2 linked regions of the Arabidopsis thaliana genome follow. Each later gene encodes a partner of the first gene's protein in a complex. Each region holds a gene or a part of one and is shown on either strand. Other genes may lie near its edges.

Region 1 (10,130 bases):
TGACCTTTGGAATTGACTACGAATCAACTGCGAAATACTATCTTACCTTGAATAGCCTAGCGAGCTCAGTAGCGTGCAAGATGTTACCGAGCTTTGACTGACCATATGCTTGCAAAGTATTGTACCTGTAGAGAAACAGTGAGAGCAATAGCAGTATGTTATTAGTTTACTACACTAGAACTCAAAAGTAATAAACAATACTATCACATAACAATCACCTTGCTTCATCATTTATTTTGTCAAACTGAACACCTTCCCGGTAAGCAAATCGATGACCTTCTGATGAGACAATAACAATTCTTCCTTCTCTATTGCTTTCACTAGCTGTTTTCTTCATCCTCTCCAAAAGAAGGTTTGTCAACAGAAAATGACCTGAAGCATTGTACAAAACATAAACCTTATAACATAGAAAATGTTCCTCATCATACTTCAAACGATGAAGCAAAAGTTCAAACAAAGAAGCAAAAAGGGAGGAGATCATAAGTTCTTCTAAACTAAACATACCCAAATGATTGGTTGCAAACTGTAATTCAATGTTGTCGCTAGAAAGCAAGAAGGGACATGCCATAATCCCCGCATTATTGCTACAAAAACAAGAACAAAGATTAAGCCGACTAACACATATTAACATTCACTAATCCAGCAATTACTGAAACAAACTACAAACTTAGAGAGACTTTACATGAGAAGATTCAAGGGAAGGTCCAAAGACTGATACTCTGATGCAAAGCTCCTGACAGAAGCCATAGAGCTAAGATCCAACTTCATTACATCAATCTTAGCCTGAGGTATTTCCTTAAGTATCTTATCTCTGACTTGATTACCAGAATCTGTATTCCTTACCGCCATTACAACATGAACACCACGAAGAGCAAGAACACGAGTAGTCTCTTCCCCAATACCACTTGATGCTCCTGAAATCAAATAAAACATATACATCAAAAACCAGCAAAATCTTCTCCTTTGCTTCAAGATGTGTTCTTAACAAGCCTGATAAAGTTTAATCCTTTAGTCCATTAACAGATACCAACAACAACTTGAGTTCAAGGGCAGGATCAAAACCAAGAAATTAAACTATAGACTGAACATAGATCATAAAAAAGTTGAAAACATCTGCACGAAGAAGAAGAAGAAGAAGAAGAAGAAGAAGAAGAAGAGGACCTGTGACGATAGCAGTGAGACCAGTACCATCGATTCCATGAGTGACTTCTTCAGCTGTGGAACGAGCAGAGAACCCAGATGCTCCTTTCCACCAAAAAGGCCACATGTTTGTTTTGTTTCTATCTTCTGTACCACAAAATTAAAGTCTAATCTCAACCAAACCAACGCTAGCTGATGATCAAACACACACCCTAGTAAAGTTGACCAATTATAAAATTTCTTTTTCCGAGAGCTTTTGCAATGTGCCCATGCTCTGTTCTCAAAACAAGGCACTGAAGAATCTCGTATAAAAGTATTAATTACAGTTTCATTTGTTTTCTTCCTTAATCCAGAGATAAGAATAAAGATGTTTGTATACACTATTTACATTTTTGATACAAATGTTGTTAAATGTGAAATTTGGTATTCGTTTATTGTTCTTCATAAACTAATAATAAGCAATTAACAAAAAGTTTGCTTGAAAGAGAAGCTGATCAATGTCAAAGGTTTTTACAGCAGAAAGTTGGAAATAAATTGGACAAACAAAGAAAGATCCAACCGAAGAAGGAAATAACAACTCTCTCTGGGTGTGTAGAGCAAAAAACGAGTCTAACATGTTTTAAAATCTTTCATAAAAACTTATAAAAGATGAGCAATCTTCAAAAGAAGAAGAGACAGGTTTGGGCTAAAGAAGAGTGCTGTGATGTTGAAAATCCAGAGATAACCTTTTTCATTCATTCCCATGGAGATTGAGACCAAAAAAATTATTATTACTCAACGCTGTGTTGGCCTGGGCCTGGAGCTTCCAAATGTGGATCGGCGATCATCACTGCCTCTAGGACCAGAACCCCAACGGTCTCCTCCTTCAGCTGGAGGTCCAGATCTTTCCCTATTACTAGTCCACCGGTCAGTATTCTGAGCGGCTCCTCTGTTGCTTCCCCAGTGGTCATCTCCGGGAGGCGGCCCACGGTTGGACCGTCGGTCAGTTTCTGATGATGTTGGTGCTGATGGGCCTGAGACCTCAGTAGTCTGGCGCTTCCACTTCGGAACATAAGGTGCTGCTGGTGCTCCTGCTGCTGCTGCTGCTGCTGCTGGTGCGGTAGTTCCAACAGGAGTAACAGTAGGCTCTGCAAGGCGAGCAGGTGGTGCATTAGTTCCTCTCAACAGCTCTTCTCGTTCCCGCCTACTTTTCTCTTCCAGCTCTATCTCTCTCTGCCTTTGCTTCTCAAAAGCTTTATCCAAGTTTGCTTTGCGTTCAGCTTCTACCTTCTTGAGCCTCTCAGCTTCTACATTAGAGGAAAACCCAAAAAATAAACAGAAACAAGGGGTTATTAAGAAAAACTTCAATATCAAAGTCAAAATGATGTGGATTTATGGAAGCAAGTCCACACCTTCCTGCTTGCGAGCTTCCTCTTCTTCCTGCAGCTTCCTAATCCTTTCTTCTTCAATTTTCAAATAATATATCTGCTTCCTCTTGATATCCCTTTCTTGCTTCTTCTCTCGGATTATTTTACTGATACGCTCCTCTCTCTCCGTCCTGATTCTGTCAAACTCTGCTTGTCGACGACTAATCACTTGTGCTTGGAATATTTCCTGGGCACAGAAAGATTCGATTATAAGTACATTGGAAGGAAAAGTTACAGGAAAAATGTAAGAAACTAGAGAGCTTTAAAATTAATTCAATAACGAAAAGAGATTCAGATCAAAGATGAACATTAAGAGAAACAACATGACATGTCAAAGACTGACCTTATTACCCAACATTCTGGACAACCTGTTCTTCTCCTTCAAGTCACTCTCATGACGCTCTTTACTGAGTTCAACTTCACGCTGCATAGGAGAAGAGCTTTTAAGACCTCATATACTTCCAACACAGAACCAAGTTGTAAGAAAAGAAAAACTACTGAAACAGTAAGTACCTGTTGTTCACGCTCATAAAACTCTCTTTCCTCTACCAGTCTTCGCTGATATGCAGCTTCAATCAATGGAGCAGCCTCTTCTCTCTTTGCTCTTTCCAAATAATCCATCGTTTTGGCAAGCTTTTGAAGCTTCTTCTCCATTTCTTGCCTTTCCTTGAGCTGCTCAGTTAAGGCCCTTTCCTTCACAGATTGCTTTGTCACCTTCTCCTATATTTAGTTTAACCCAACCGACATTAGTAATAAGTTAATCAGTGAACTATATAATAGCTAACATATTGGTAAACTTACTCCGTCTAAAAGTGGCTTCTTCTTTCCCTTTTTCATGCGCTTCTCTGTCTCTTCCAGTAAAGCTTGGGCTTCTTCAAGCTCCTTCTCCTCTATCTCTCTAAGGATTCTTTGTTTTCTTCTCTCTGCAAGCTCTGCTGCAAGTCTCTTTTGTTCTGCCTCTTCAGTTAGCTTCTGAAGCTTAAGCCGTTTCTGCTCCTCTTCACGTTCCTTCAAAAGTAAACATCAAATAAAGGAATTTTCATAAACAGGTACAGCGTAAAAGGAGAGCTGTGCAAATAACCATGGAAAAGTAACTACCATTTCTAGTTGCTGACGCTCTTGATCCTCCTTCCTCTTTTCAATGATTGATTTACGAGCAAGCAGTCTTTTGTGCTCTTTCTCAACAGTATCTGCTAAATTTGGTATAACGCCAGCTAGTTTTGATGCTTTACTTGGGACAGGATACAGCATAGCTCTTACTTTGCTCAAAGACTCGGCAAAAACAGCCAGATGATCCCTCAGTCCATCAGACTCAATACCCTAATATACAAACAGTTGATCAAATAGATTAGTATTTAGTCAATAAGTTAAAAATTATATTACTCAACTACATATGATATAATCAGTGTTGAGCTGAAGCTTTAACAGAGGCTTACCAAATTTCCAAAAATTACAACACCCTTCATGTGATCAACTTTCATGGCAACAAAATTGTTCTTCACAGCATCAACAGAAATCTTCTCTACCTCTGAGAATTGAAAGAAGGGTACCAACTGAGATAAACTCTCAATTCTTATTGTCTGATAAATCTTAGACACCTGAAAATAAAATCGGAACATAGAACATTTAGTATGCAGAAAAAGGGATAAACCACCAGAAAAATCCAAAATGGTTGAATGGGTATTGACCTACAACATAGAGAACAAGGCTTACCTGTTGAAGTAGCCTCAGAGTAGCAAGCTTCTCCAGAGAAGGAACATATTGGGAAAGTTGCACTTCTGGTAAAGAAGGAGCTGAGGACAGTTTCCCACCAGATTTGGAAATCTTTTCCAGCAAAGGCTGAATCTTGGAGCCAAGATCAAGTGGGTGAAATTCATGCTCCAAAACATGGAAAAGATCTTTGACCTCCTGAGATGCACAGCTCAAAACACCTTTTGAAACCTAATTGCATAAAAATCAGCCTCCAAATCAGATATTTGTAAGTCGACAAATATTCTAAACCACAGACAGGGTAACAGCTAGAGACTCACCAGCTCTGACAGAAGAGCTGACCGGGAAAGCTGAAACAGGAAGGAAATGGAATTAGAATACTAAACCAGAAAGAAAGGGCGCAAAATAAAAATGAAGCAACATAAGAACCTATGTTACCATATCTTTGCCCTCAAATTTAGGTTCAAGATTGAATCCAATGAGGTTAGCCATCCTCAAATTGCGTTCTTTCTCATTTTCAAGTTCCATATGGGATGCGCTCTGAGCCCGATCAAATGGTGGAATGGACAATGCCGCCAAGACAACAGATGACGCTATTAGCTGCAAATCCTTTTGGCTTAAATTCTTGTTGAAATTTTTCTGCAGACTAAACAGCTTAAACCATGCATAAGCATGATAAAGATGGCTAGAAGAAATCCAGAAGATCTCAGTCAATTTGGAATAATAAACCATCAATAAAGATGACTTGGGCGTTTTTTTGACCATGCACATTAATCCATAGATATCTTCAACAGAGCGAAAAGCTTCCTGCAAAGATACATCACGAACCATACTAACTTATTTCCAGTAATTATACAGAGGATAAGCTATATACAGCCAAACTAAATATGGAATAGAGAAGGTAGCATCAGAAAAATACACATAGAAAACAAAAACGCACCTGCCAAAGTCCAAGCTCAGTAGCAACTTTCAACTGATCAAACCTTGTGTCCAGATACAGCTGCAAGCTCTCAGGGGCTGATAAGTCAGGTCGGTCCCTTTGGTCTCTGTACTTGTTCAGGTTTGCCAAATGATTTCTTATAATTTCACAAAGCCTACGGAACTCTGTTGTTCGCTTGTACTGCTTACAGAACTGGAAGGCTTTATGTGCTGTCATCTACAAGATTATAAAGTACAAGTCTTCAATCTCAATCAACTTAAAATCAGAGGTATCACCAATAAGCTTAACCTAGAAGAAAACAAACCGCATAAAGTGCTTCCAACTTTGAGTTGTTTCGCAATATCTCAAGGACTGTCCTGTATGTCTCCCACAGAAACTTAAACCATGGGGTGACCAACTCACGGTCAGACCTATCTTTTCCCTTCTCCCCACTGACAATACTTAGCTGTAAATCCTCAGGCTTCCTATCAGCTTCAAGGTCATCAACATCAAGAGCCTCCTCAAGGGCATCCGCCTGAGACCGAGCTTGCTCAGCTTTGTCAGTAGCAAGATGTAGGAAGTGCTTGATAACTTCCTCCAAGGAACTGACATTCACTTGCTGGCAAACAATACGATACTGAATCAATCCATCCTTAGCGAATCGACCCCTCTTCAAGTCAACACAAAGATCAAGATACTTAAACATGATCTTCTCAAGCGGTTTCTGCCAAGCTCTGTATCTCTTGGAAGTAATGAGATCATGAAGCGCCTGAAGAGCATCTTGTTTCTGTCCAACATTGATCAATTCTACACACACAAAAAAAAAGTGTTTAACACAATCTCAATTCATACACACCCTAACCACATCCATTTGACCAAATGGATGTTAAAACGAAAACATTTCGTAACTTACCATCAGCACGCTTCAACGCGTTCTCTGGTTTGGCAAAATTCGCCATGTTTCAGACGAAAAAAGCTAGTAACAAACTCTAACGCAAGGGACACTCTCAATTAGCCTGAAAAACACAGAGAAGCGATTTTGTTACAGAGATCACCAGAATCCGAAAAACCCAATCAGATATCTCAGAAAAGGATGGAAGCTACATAGACCAGAAAAAACTTGCCCAAACCCTAAATTCATTTCATAGAATCAAAATAACACAGAAAGATTCGATAACCTGACCCAAACCCTAACCCAGATCAATTCAATGAGATTTGATTAAAAGGCAGTAGAGATCCAATCACTGATGCAAGAACAGAGCCGAAACTTAGGACTAACCTTGTAGCCGTGAAAAGAGAAGACTGATAAGAGAGACGAGAAGCGAAGCGGAAGCAACTCTAGGGTTTCTGGTATTAATATTATCGTTCTACATATATATTACCCATATTTGCAGAAATCATCCTATTTTCTTACGGTTTCGAAATGACCCCGTTTTATCTTCTTAGTGTTTATAAAACCCAATTTGTCTAATACTGGGATGTGATTCAATTGAGATCAACAAAATTTATGGATTTCATTTTCGAATTATCATTTACAATATACTCTCTATATTTTGTTTAATAATATTTTTAGCAATTAACTTTGATATTTCTATATTATTAACTAAACATACATTTAAGTAAATAGCCAACAACATATTAAATATTACATAAAATGCCACTACAAAAATTCATTTCAAAAAAACAATTGATTTACATAAAATCATGAAAGGTAAAAAATTCAACTGTAAAAGGGTGTTATTGGTTTATGATTTCAAAAGAGTTTTAATGACTTAAAGTGTAATATAGAATCTGATGTTATTCAATTAAATTTTTTTTAAAGTATAATTGTGTTAACCCGCTTTAATATTTATAATTGGGCAATTATAAATTCATATAAAAAAAATTAATTATGATTATTGCATTTATATAAAAAAATTGAAAATTTGAATATGATTTTTTCTATTACAAATAGGGATTGTTAGCTTACTTTTAACTGTTTTTTTCTTAATTATACTAGGTAAGTAACAAGAGTATAAGAACATTATACAGTTCAAAATATATATTTAAGCAAGGCATTGGAAATATGTGATGGAAAATTAATATAACAGATTATTTTTGAATTATTTTACTATCGACGTATTTTTTTTGTCGGAACTGTCGCTCACGATTTGCAATAGAACATAGCCATATGTAATCATTTTGATCTATATTTTTGAGTTACTCCAAGATTCAAACAATTTAAATTCCGTTATAATCTACAATTAACCTTCCATCCAATTCCAAAATCAACAATATTTTAGCCAATTTGTGCGATGATCATGAATTTGTTTTGTTAAATTCATTGATTTTCTAGAATCCAACATGTACATAAAAAAAATTAGTGGAAATTGATATATTTTTTTGGGAAATTTGCAGAAATAACTAACAAAAAAACTATAATTCACTAACTAACCATCCTAACTATGTAATTATAATATTCTCTGTATTATATGTAATATTACTCAATTTGCCCTTGTTGCCTCAATACCTTCAGTAGCAACCACCACCGCTGGCCACCACCGCCGGCCACCACCGCCGGTCACCACCGCCGGCCACCACCGGTCACCACCACCGGTCACCACCGCCGGCCATCACTGCCTGCCACCACCGCCGGCCACCACTGCCTGCCACCACCGCCGGCCATCACCGCCAACTTCGGCCACCATCTATTCCGGTCACCACCAACACCGGTCACCGTCACTGTCGGCCACCATCAAATCCGGCCACCACCAACTCCGGCCACCACCAACTTCGGCCACCACCACCACCGCCACCACCACTGTCGGCCATCACCACCACCGGCCACCACCACCACCGCCGGTCACCACCACCACCACCACCACCACCACCACCACCGCCGACCATCACCCCGCCGGTCACCACCACCACCGCCGGCCACCACCACCACCGCCGGTCACCACCACCACCACCACCACCACCACCACCACCGCCGACCATCACCCCGCCGGTCACCACCACCACCACCGGCCACCACCACCACCGGCCACCACCACCACCGCCGGCAACCACCACACCGATCACCAACACTTCCGACCACCATCAACTCCATCCACCACCGCCGGCCACAACCATCACCACCACTACCATCTCCAATCAAAAAGACTAATTTAGTAAGTTTACTACCCTCTAGTGTTAGTTTCTACATTTTGTATATTATAGTGTTAGTTTCTTAAATAAATTATCAAAAACAGTTAGTTTTGCAATTCACCCATATTTTTTTCTCGTAAATGTTTTTTTATTGATCGAAAGTCTACGGCACAAGGTATTCTTACAAGACAATATTTTAAGAGCTAACAAAACGAATATATAGTCCACAAAGATAGACCCAAGATTAAACCCTCCAAAGAAAGAAAAGAGACAGCAAAGCAAACTATCTTCATATCACAAGACGCGTCAGACGGTAAAGATGAGATTACGACACATGTTGATTTCACAACCTCCACCGCAAGAGATCCAACTTCCGATGAATTTTAGATCGTCACCGGAAAACTAAGTTCGAGCAATCAAATCTTCTGTTTCTCACCGTAATGACAATCGCAGATCACCATACTGATTTGCTCACGACTGATTCTTAACCAATTGAATCTCTGATTCCTTGACAACAACGACGAAAAGGTAATTCAAGATCTACACAACAACTAAAGCTTTTAATTAGGAACCTAAAGCACATTCAAACCATGAACTGTTTTAACCGAGTAACATCCGCTTAGAGATTAAGCCAATAAAGCTTCCAACCAACAACTAAAAACATAAAAGAAAGCAATCATCTTCATAGATCGGTGGGAAGAAATAACCACAATTATGTTGAACTCAATCCAAAGGCACTAGAAAAAACCATCATCCACAACTCCGATTTGTTTCTTTTAAAATTGAAATCGATAAGCTTGAAAAACAAAACGAGCCTTTTAATCAAAGGAGGTTTAAGGAATTCTAATTCCAGATCTAAGAATTGAAACACAAGAGGGCCAATCAAACCAAATGTAAAGAAAACTAAAGAACGAAAAGATAAATTTAAACCGGAAAAAATCCGATTAGAAGCTAGACGAGACACAATAGAAGGACGATGAAACTCTAGATATAAGCCAGTCAACCGCCTTTGTAAAAGCCGACAGATGCCAGACGCTAGCCGACCACCACCGTAAAGAGAAACGGACGGTGTCAAAACTAAAGCTGGCCAAACATTGCCATAAAAACGAAAGTTATCGGATAAAAAGCCAAAAAGTCAAAAGCCAAAAGATTCTAAACGGATAGTTGGACAACGGAACTACCGTTGCCAGAGAAAAAACTCTAATGACTTCCTTTCTAAAAAAATATAGGAGAGGGAAGTCCACCCGATTAGTGGAATTTGATTATTGAACAAAACCAGTTTTTCCATTTTTTCGCAATTGTAACAAAAAAACAAAGGTAAAAATAAAAACGAAAAAGTAAAACCCTTCGAGAAGAAGAAGCAGCGCATAAACCCCCATCGGCCAGAGAAAATGAGCAATTTGGGATCTCGATCTTCTACCGACAAAGAGCTTATCAGCTTCTCAAGGTTTTGGTTAATTTGAGCTACAGATTTTTGGATTATCGATGATATCTAGCTTCGAGAAATTTTCGAATTTTCTCACATGAGGCGTTATTTTGGAACAGATCTTTGTTGAGCTATTGGCTCGAACTAGTTGACTAAGATTTAGAAGTCGATTTTTTGTGTATATTGTGTAAGATAAGCAAATGTCTTCTTCTACGAAAGGATCTGTTAAGAAGAGTTCGATTAAACATAGTTGCAACTTAGCTGAGGTTAAGAGGAAGCTTTCAAAGATCAGTGATCATCATTCACATGTAGAGTATGCTTATGCCTTCCAGAGGGACAATAGAGAAAGAGTAGATACTAGGTTGAGTCAAATCCTCAGTAGGGATGCGTTGATATCAGC
Region 2 (6,797 bases), on another chromosome or scaffold:
TTAGCTTTGAAACTAAGAACCCTAAGTTGATCCAACTGGTTCAAACTCTTCTCGTTAAGTGAGCCGGTGAGATTCAAGTACTCAAGAACAAGCTTGGAGACTCTTCCATTCATACATTCTCTAACACCTTGCCAGTTGCAGAGATCTGTTCCTCTCCAAGAAATCGAATTAGATGGATCGATTGAAGATTTCAAGCTTAGTAAAGCTTCGACGTCGCTAGATCTCGCCGGAGTAACCAAACAGAAGAAGACTGTAAATGCAAAGACTACGAACGACACCGTACTCGAAGACGAAGAAGAAGAAGAAGAAGCCATTGTCGATGAATGATGAATCAATCAAATCAGAAAGAGTGGCTCTTTTCCTCAGCTCATAAAAGAAACAGAAATGATTGATACAGTTCGAAATCGAGTTTCCATAAAAAGCATCCCATGAATCTCCTCAAAGCCATCACTTTCTATTATTAAGTCACTTTCCAGATCTGCCCCATTATGCTAAAGCATCTCGATCGAAGCAAAAAAGGGAAAGGTAAAAAATGAAGAAGAAGAAGAAGAAAGTGAGAGCTCTGCTCTACTCTGCTCTTTAATGGCGGAAAGAAATCTTCTGGTAGTGAGCACTAAGAAGAGAAGAAGAAGCATTAAAATTCCCCGGCATTTTCTCTCTCTCTCACTTCACTTTCTGAGTATCTTTTCTCGAAGTTCTTGGTCGAGGAAGATGTCATCACGTGAAGCCATGCCTGGAAAACTTTTTTTTTGTTCTCACTGTGACATCTTCAATGCATTCATGAATAATAGTAGTATTATAAAAAAAATTAATAATGGGTTTATGAAGGAGAGACGAAGGAGAAAGAGAAAAATAATTCACGTATATTTTTGTCGTTATTGTTATGGTTGCTATTACTTTGCCAAGATTCAGAGACAGATAGGTTTTGGGGCCAAGGTAGTTACTGCTGCTGAGAAAATTTATATAGAGATTTTATGGTGAAGTGTGGTATGGAGCAGAAGAAATATGGTGGGAATAATTAATTTTAGGGATGATTTATTTAAAGTAAGGAGAGACATTGTTTTTCAATTTTATTCAGTTGGTGTCTGGTTCCTCTTTGCACTCTCTACCAATTATTGAGCTGCTTTTTTTTCCTACCTCTTTTTCTTGTTGAATCTTCACATGGTTTTTATAATATTTTTAATCGTATTTTAATATGGACCTCATGTTATTTATACAATGAGGATATAGATTGTTGGATTTTTGTTTGAGAGGAAAGTTAAAGATGTGTTAACATTCATGGTTGGTATTCAATCTCTAAAACGAGGATGTTGAAGTGTTTATTAAATTAGGAATTTATTAGTTGCTTAGCTTAAGCGTGATGAAAATGTAATAAAGAAGAGGTGAGAATTGAGTTCACGTAAAGGCTGAGTTAATTATTAACCAGCGGTCCACCAGTCCAAACACCAACCTCGCAAAGAGACTGCAGTCATTTAATTTGGCATCAATATTATTGTTGACTTCTTTGACCTTCAATGAATCATCAAGGTTTTCGACTTTCGAGTAATAAACTATAGTACATTTAATACGTTTTATATATTTGGTTTTACGTTTTTTGATACCAGTGGTGATTCTCTAGTTTTTGCCGTTTATTTAGGACATTGTTGATTTTCTTACGGACTTATGAAATGACCATGTCTTATAGACTTTTTAAAGTTGGTTACTAAAGATTAGACTTTGAATTAGTCCTCTTTTTCGATTAAACCCTAATACCGGATGGAATTTGGAGGGAAAGTTTCTAAAAGTTTTGGATTCTAGTTGACTCCATGACTGTTTGTTTTTTCTTACTAAGTTTTGACTAGTTGGTTAGTGTAATGGGCCCATGCTATTAAATTAAATGTTCAATATTTTGAGGAATATTATGGTCCTGGCCTTTTACAAGAGAATAGCATTATAGGTCCATGGGCTGGGTCCATCCTTATTATAGGTCGGAAAACATTTAGGGATCATTCTATAAGAATCTCAAATTTTAGGGCTCTTTTGCAATTTTAACTGCGAAACGCTTTTTTTTTTTCCTCTCTACACCCAAATTGAAGGGAAAAAAAAATCTGCGGATCCTCGAGAAGCCCTATCAAACACATAAAGTTCTTTCTCTTACTCATCTCCGCCGCCGGCAGTAAAAATATCACATCGTTAGGGTTTCACGGCGGAGATTCAAGTTCTTTGACCTAGGAAGCTTTCACTATCACCGGAGACTATTTCAATGGCAACCAGTCAGTATAATCATCCTCTCTGTTCTTCACTAGGACATAGAATTAATATTTGCATCTGTTTATTGACGATTTCTGTATATGTCGTGCTAAGTTTCTTCCGTGGTTTATTTCTGCAGTGGCTAGGTCGTTTCTGCAGGCGATATCGAAGGATGAGGCGGTGGCTCCTCCGCTTAGAGTTGTTCAGATCGAAGGACTGGTAACGTTTCTTAGTGTTCCCTGATTTTACGGTTTTAAGTGTTTTTCCTCGTTTTCTGCTGACCGATGGTGTTTGATAAATAAAAACTCTCTAGGTGAAGCTAATTTGCCCATTATCATTTGGTAGGAAGTTGTGATGCTGAGAATTTTGTTTGCTATTGTGATAGGCTGTACTAAAGATAATCAAACACTGCAAGGAGTTTTCACCGACCCTTGTCACTGGACAGCTTCTTGGACTTGATGTTGGTAGCGTCCTCGAAGTTACCAATTGTTTTCCTTTCCCGGTATGTTGATGAATTTTACACGCATTGTGAGGATTTAAGAGCTTGTTCATGATTGATGTACATGTGATTTACTGGAATTTGTATCTTAAACGAGGACAGGTCAGGGATGATGATGAAGAAATTGAAGCTGATGGTGCTAATTATCAGCTTGAGATGATGAGATGTCTGAGGGAGGTTAATGTTGACAACAACACTGTTGGCTGGTAGGTTTTTTAATGACATCAGTCTGAGTTCACTTGTTAAATTTTTTCTTGTGAATGTATTTAGATCTGCCTAATTCTTTGTTCAGGTATCAATCTACAGTTCTTGGTTCGTATCAGACTGTGGAACTGATTGAGACCTTCATGAATTACCAGGTACTTTTTTTTTTGTTAAAGAATCCTGTCTACCATGTCATTATAACATTCTAGATTTGGTCTGTTCATATGTTATGCTCTTCATTCAGCTGGAAATTTATATGTATAGCATGGCTACTCTAGTGTATGATAGGTATATTGGCATGTGTAAAAGTTGAATGTAAATTGGATCATGAATATATTTTCTGAGACTTTTTTTGTCCGCAACTCTGTTACAATCCCTTGCAGAATCATGATATGAACTCTTAAGAAATGATTCTTCTGCATCTACAGGAGAATATCAAGAGGTGTGTGTGCATCATATATGATCCCTCTAAAGCTGATCTAGGCGTCTTAGCTTTGAAGGCTTTGAAGCTTTCAGATTCCTTTATGGAGTTGTACCGAGGTGGAAACTTTACTGGCGAGAAGTATGTATCTTGATCCATTGAAAATCTAGGTTTTATGAGCCACTTAGGATGATAGTTGTAACGTTTTAATCACTATCTTTTTCAGGTTGAGAGAGAAAAATTTCTCCTGGATGGATATTTTTGAGGAAATACCTGTAAGTCTCTAGCTTTCTTCTATATTGAATTCTTACCAGCTAATCTTTTCAAGTCACTAGGTTGGAATTGTTACCTAATTATATTTTCCTCTGACAAAAAAAGTGGTTTAAATGTTTGTTACTTTTCCTTTGACAGATCAAGGTTTCAAATTCTGCCCTTGTCAGTGCCTTTATGACCGAACTGGAGACTGATACACCTGTCTCACAGGTACAATACTACTATCTGGATAGTGATCCTTGCTTGCTGTCAGCATTGCAGATTTTGACTCTTGATACTTCTGTATTTTCGCCTTTCTAGGGCGATTATGATCGTCTACACTCATCAACCACTCCTTTCCTTGAGAACAATATGGAGTTTTTGATTAAATGCATGGATGATTTATCTATGGAACAGCAAAAGGTGTGGTTTCTTCTGCACTCTTGTTCAATTCTCATCATCAGAAGTCCGAACTATCTTAACGCAAAATCTTAATTTATTTCTCCAGTTCCAGTATTACTACCGGAACCTGTCTCGTCAGCAAGCACAACAGCAAGCCTGGCTCCAGAAGAGAAGGTAGGTTTATATTTTCTGCAGAACCTTTTTGTTCTAGTTCAGGTTTGATTAGTTTCACTACCTCGTTATCTTGGAAGGTGATACAACTTTACTTACGAGAGTTGTGAATGCCTTGTAACATTTGTCTTCAGCTTTTCCTTGTCCTTTTGATCTTCCAACTAATGAAAGAGGTGTTTGGTTTATAGAACGGAGAACATGGCTCGTAAATCAGCTGGAGAGGAGCCTTTACCAGAAGAGGATCCTTCAAACCCAATCTTTAAGGCGATCCCTGAACCATCTAGGCTAGAGAGTTTCCTCATCACAAACCAAGTCTCAAACTTCTGTGGCCAAATCAATGGGTATGTTCCTCTTTAGTATTGTTTCACCATTTTTGGAGCTTTGAAAGATACTTAAAATGAGTCGACCTGTTGTTATGCAGAGTGGCTGGCCAGAACTTCAGCAGGCTTTACCTGACCAAAGCATTGCACGACAACTGATTGCAAAGACTACCCAAGTTTTTGTTTTTTGAGTCAGAAAGTGAAAGACTTGGTGGTAGAATGGATCCTATATTTGTTTTTCGTGGATGTTTTTGTTTTTATTTTTGTTGTTGTGAAGTAATTTAATTTACAAGCTTTTCAAAAAAAATCTTTATTCTTATGCATAATGAAAAATTATTGAAGTTTTGAAAGATTTATCTTGTATTGGACCTCTGATTGCCTTACAACAAATTATACATAGTTATCAAAATCCTAATCAAAAGAGTAAAAAATCTAATTTATAGAGATTTTATTATAGTTGTAGTGTTAGTTCCATCGCTAAATCCCTTGAACGACAACGTTTATTATTTCTTCTTCGGACGATTGTTTGAAGAAATTTAAAAACGACATCTTTTTATTACTTCCTCTTCGAAAGATTGTTTACCAACAAGAACAATGGCGGTTTATCATCTCCTTCTCTCGAGCCCACCTTCGCTTCTTCTTCTCCCTCCTTCTCCTCGCCGCCCTAACCTCACCTTAATCCGCCGTATCCCAGCTCATCCTCGCCTCGGAAACTCGACCAGCTTGCTTTCTTCTTCGTCACCGGTAATTCGGAAAATTCTGGTTCGTAGCACTCTCCGGGAAGACCAACCCATCGCCTCTGACTCCGAGAGTAGTCCTACTCTACTGATCGGTGAAGATTCTGCTGCTTTTGAATTAGGGAAACAGAAGCTTGTTTCCTGGGTTTATTTCGGTGTTGTCCTTGGAGTTGTTCTCTTTATCCTCAATGTTGTTTGGATCGATAATTCCACCGGTTTCGGAAAATCATTCATCGACGCCGTCTCTAACATCTCCGGCTCACCGGAGGTATAGATCAATTTAACAGTAACTGAACCAGTTTCAATTTCAGTTATTTGATTGTTAAAAACCACTTGTTTTTGCAGGTTGCTATGTTAATGCTTATCCTTATATTTGCAATTGTACATAGTGGTTTAGCTAGTCTAAGGGATATAGGAGAGAAACTTATAGGTGAACGAGCATTTCGTGTTTTGTTTGCTGGAATCTCTCTTCCTTTAGCTATGAGCACCATTGTGAGTACTCTCTCTTCTAACTCTGCAATTTTTCTCCTGATCAATGGTATAAATACCTGTTTGATGTCTCTTATGGTCTATGCAATGCCTTGTTCTTCTTTCAGGTTTACTTTATAAACCATAGATATGATGGGTCACAGTTATGGCAGCTTCAGGGTGTTCCTGGAGTCCATGAAGCTATTTGGGTCGCTAATTTTGTATCCTTCTTCTTTCTCTATCCTTCAACCTTCAATCTTCTGGAGGTAGCAGCTGTTGACAAACCGAAGATGCATCTCTGGGAGACCGGCATCATGAGAATCACTCGACATCCTCAGGTTTTGAACATTTCCCTAATGTGCCTAAACATGAAGACAATTTCCTTCATTTTTGTGTTTCAAAAATACAGAAAGATTGGATTTTTATGAGCCAAGGTTTATTAGTGGCTGTGTTAATGAGACCCCCAATCATTGAATCAATTATGGGCAGGTATTGGCCATTGACTTAAATACACCCATTACATCAGCACAATCAAATCTCCTCATCCTTCTATGTTTATTACATCAATGCTTGATTACTTTACTTGATATTGCTTTTGATCTTAAAATTCTTATCCAATTGCTTCATCATGTGTTTGGAAAAACTTGATAATATATAGAAAGATAGGCATTTTAGCTTCAGTTTTGGTTTGTTCTATTCTCTCTTCATTATACTGGCTTTGTTAATGAGACTTGATTGTTGCACCTCTCTCCTCTGATCTTCTCCAGATGGTTGGACAAATCGTTTGGTGTTTAGCACATACTCTCTGGATCGGAAACACAGTAGCTGCATCAGCTTCTCTCGGTTTGATTGCACACCATTTGTTTGGGGCGTGGAATGGAGACAGGAGATTGGCAAAAAGATATGGAGAGGATTTTGAAAGCATCAAGAAGAGAACAAGTGTGATTCCATTTGCTGCCATTTTCGAAGGACGGCAAGTTTTACCTGAGGATTACTACAAAGAATTTGTCAGGTTGCCATATCTTGCAATCACTGCGTTAACGGTTGGGGCATATTTTGCTCACCCGCTAATGCAAGGTGCAAGCTTTAGGCTT

What was found. The genes of interacting proteins can lie anywhere in the genome.
Region 2: EIF3A (region 1) and TIF3H1 share a complex: the UniProt entries of both Arabidopsis thaliana proteins name them as parts of the eukaryotic translation initiation factor 3 (eIF-3) complex.

The regions. Positions count from the first base shown.
Region 1 is NC_003075.7:6,945,920-6,956,049, forward strand, and holds EIF3A (eukaryotic translation initiation factor 3A), read right to left. Parts: upstream 6,561-10,130; 5' UTR 6,455-6,560; intron 6,192-6,454; 5' UTR 6,135-6,191; coding exon 6,089-6,134; intron 5,983-6,088; coding exon 5,501-5,982; intron 5,413-5,500; coding exon 5,197-5,412; intron 5,064-5,196; coding exon 4,695-5,063; intron 4,607-4,694; coding exon 4,577-4,606; intron 4,488-4,576; coding exon 4,260-4,487; intron 4,145-4,259; coding exon 3,983-4,144; intron 3,867-3,982; coding exon 3,645-3,866; intron 3,555-3,644; coding exon 3,348-3,554; intron 3,267-3,347; coding exon 3,060-3,266; intron 2,971-3,059; coding exon 2,890-2,970; intron 2,734-2,889; coding exon 2,532-2,733; intron 2,427-2,531; coding exon 1,915-2,426; 3' UTR 1,557-1,914; downstream 1-1,556. Other genes in the region: AT4G11410 (NAD(P)-binding Rossmann-fold superfamily protein), read right to left, coding at 47-125, 219-372, 505-584, 683-914, 1,162-1,267; AT4G11430 (hydroxyproline-rich glycoprotein family protein), read left to right, coding at 6,880-6,909, 7,694-8,323; AT4G11440 (Mitochondrial substrate carrier family protein), read left to right, coding at 9,931-10,130. UniProt on the Arabidopsis thaliana protein: RNA-binding component of the eukaryotic translation initiation factor 3 (eIF-3) complex, which is involved in protein synthesis of a specialized repertoire of mRNAs and, together with other initiation factors, stimulates binding of mRNA and methionyl-tRNAi to the 40S ribosome.
Region 2 is NC_003070.9:3,605,745-3,612,541, reverse strand, and holds TIF3H1 (translation initiation factor 3 subunit H1), read left to right. Parts: upstream 1-1,925; 5' UTR 1,926-2,242; coding exon 2,243-2,252; exon of another isoform or gene 2,253-2,368; coding exon 2,369-2,448; intron 2,449-2,614; coding exon 2,615-2,731; intron 2,732-2,830; coding exon 2,831-2,934; intron 2,935-3,020; coding exon 3,021-3,087; intron 3,088-3,360; coding exon 3,361-3,494; intron 3,495-3,579; coding exon 3,580-3,628; intron 3,629-3,764; coding exon 3,765-3,836; intron 3,837-3,926; coding exon 3,927-4,028; intron 4,029-4,113; coding exon 4,114-4,181; intron 4,182-4,366; coding exon 4,367-4,519; intron 4,520-4,599; coding exon 4,600-4,657; 3' UTR 4,658-4,911; downstream 4,912-6,797. Other genes in the region: AT1G10850 (Leucine-rich repeat protein kinase family protein), read right to left, coding at 1-314; Z-ISO (15-cis-zeta-carotene isomerase), read left to right, coding at 5,093-5,503, 5,581-5,727, 5,832-6,041, 6,471-6,797. UniProt on the Arabidopsis thaliana protein: Component of the eukaryotic translation initiation factor 3 (eIF-3) complex, which is involved in protein synthesis of a specialized repertoire of mRNAs and, together with other initiation factors, stimulates binding of mRNA and methionyl-tRNAi to the 40S ribosome.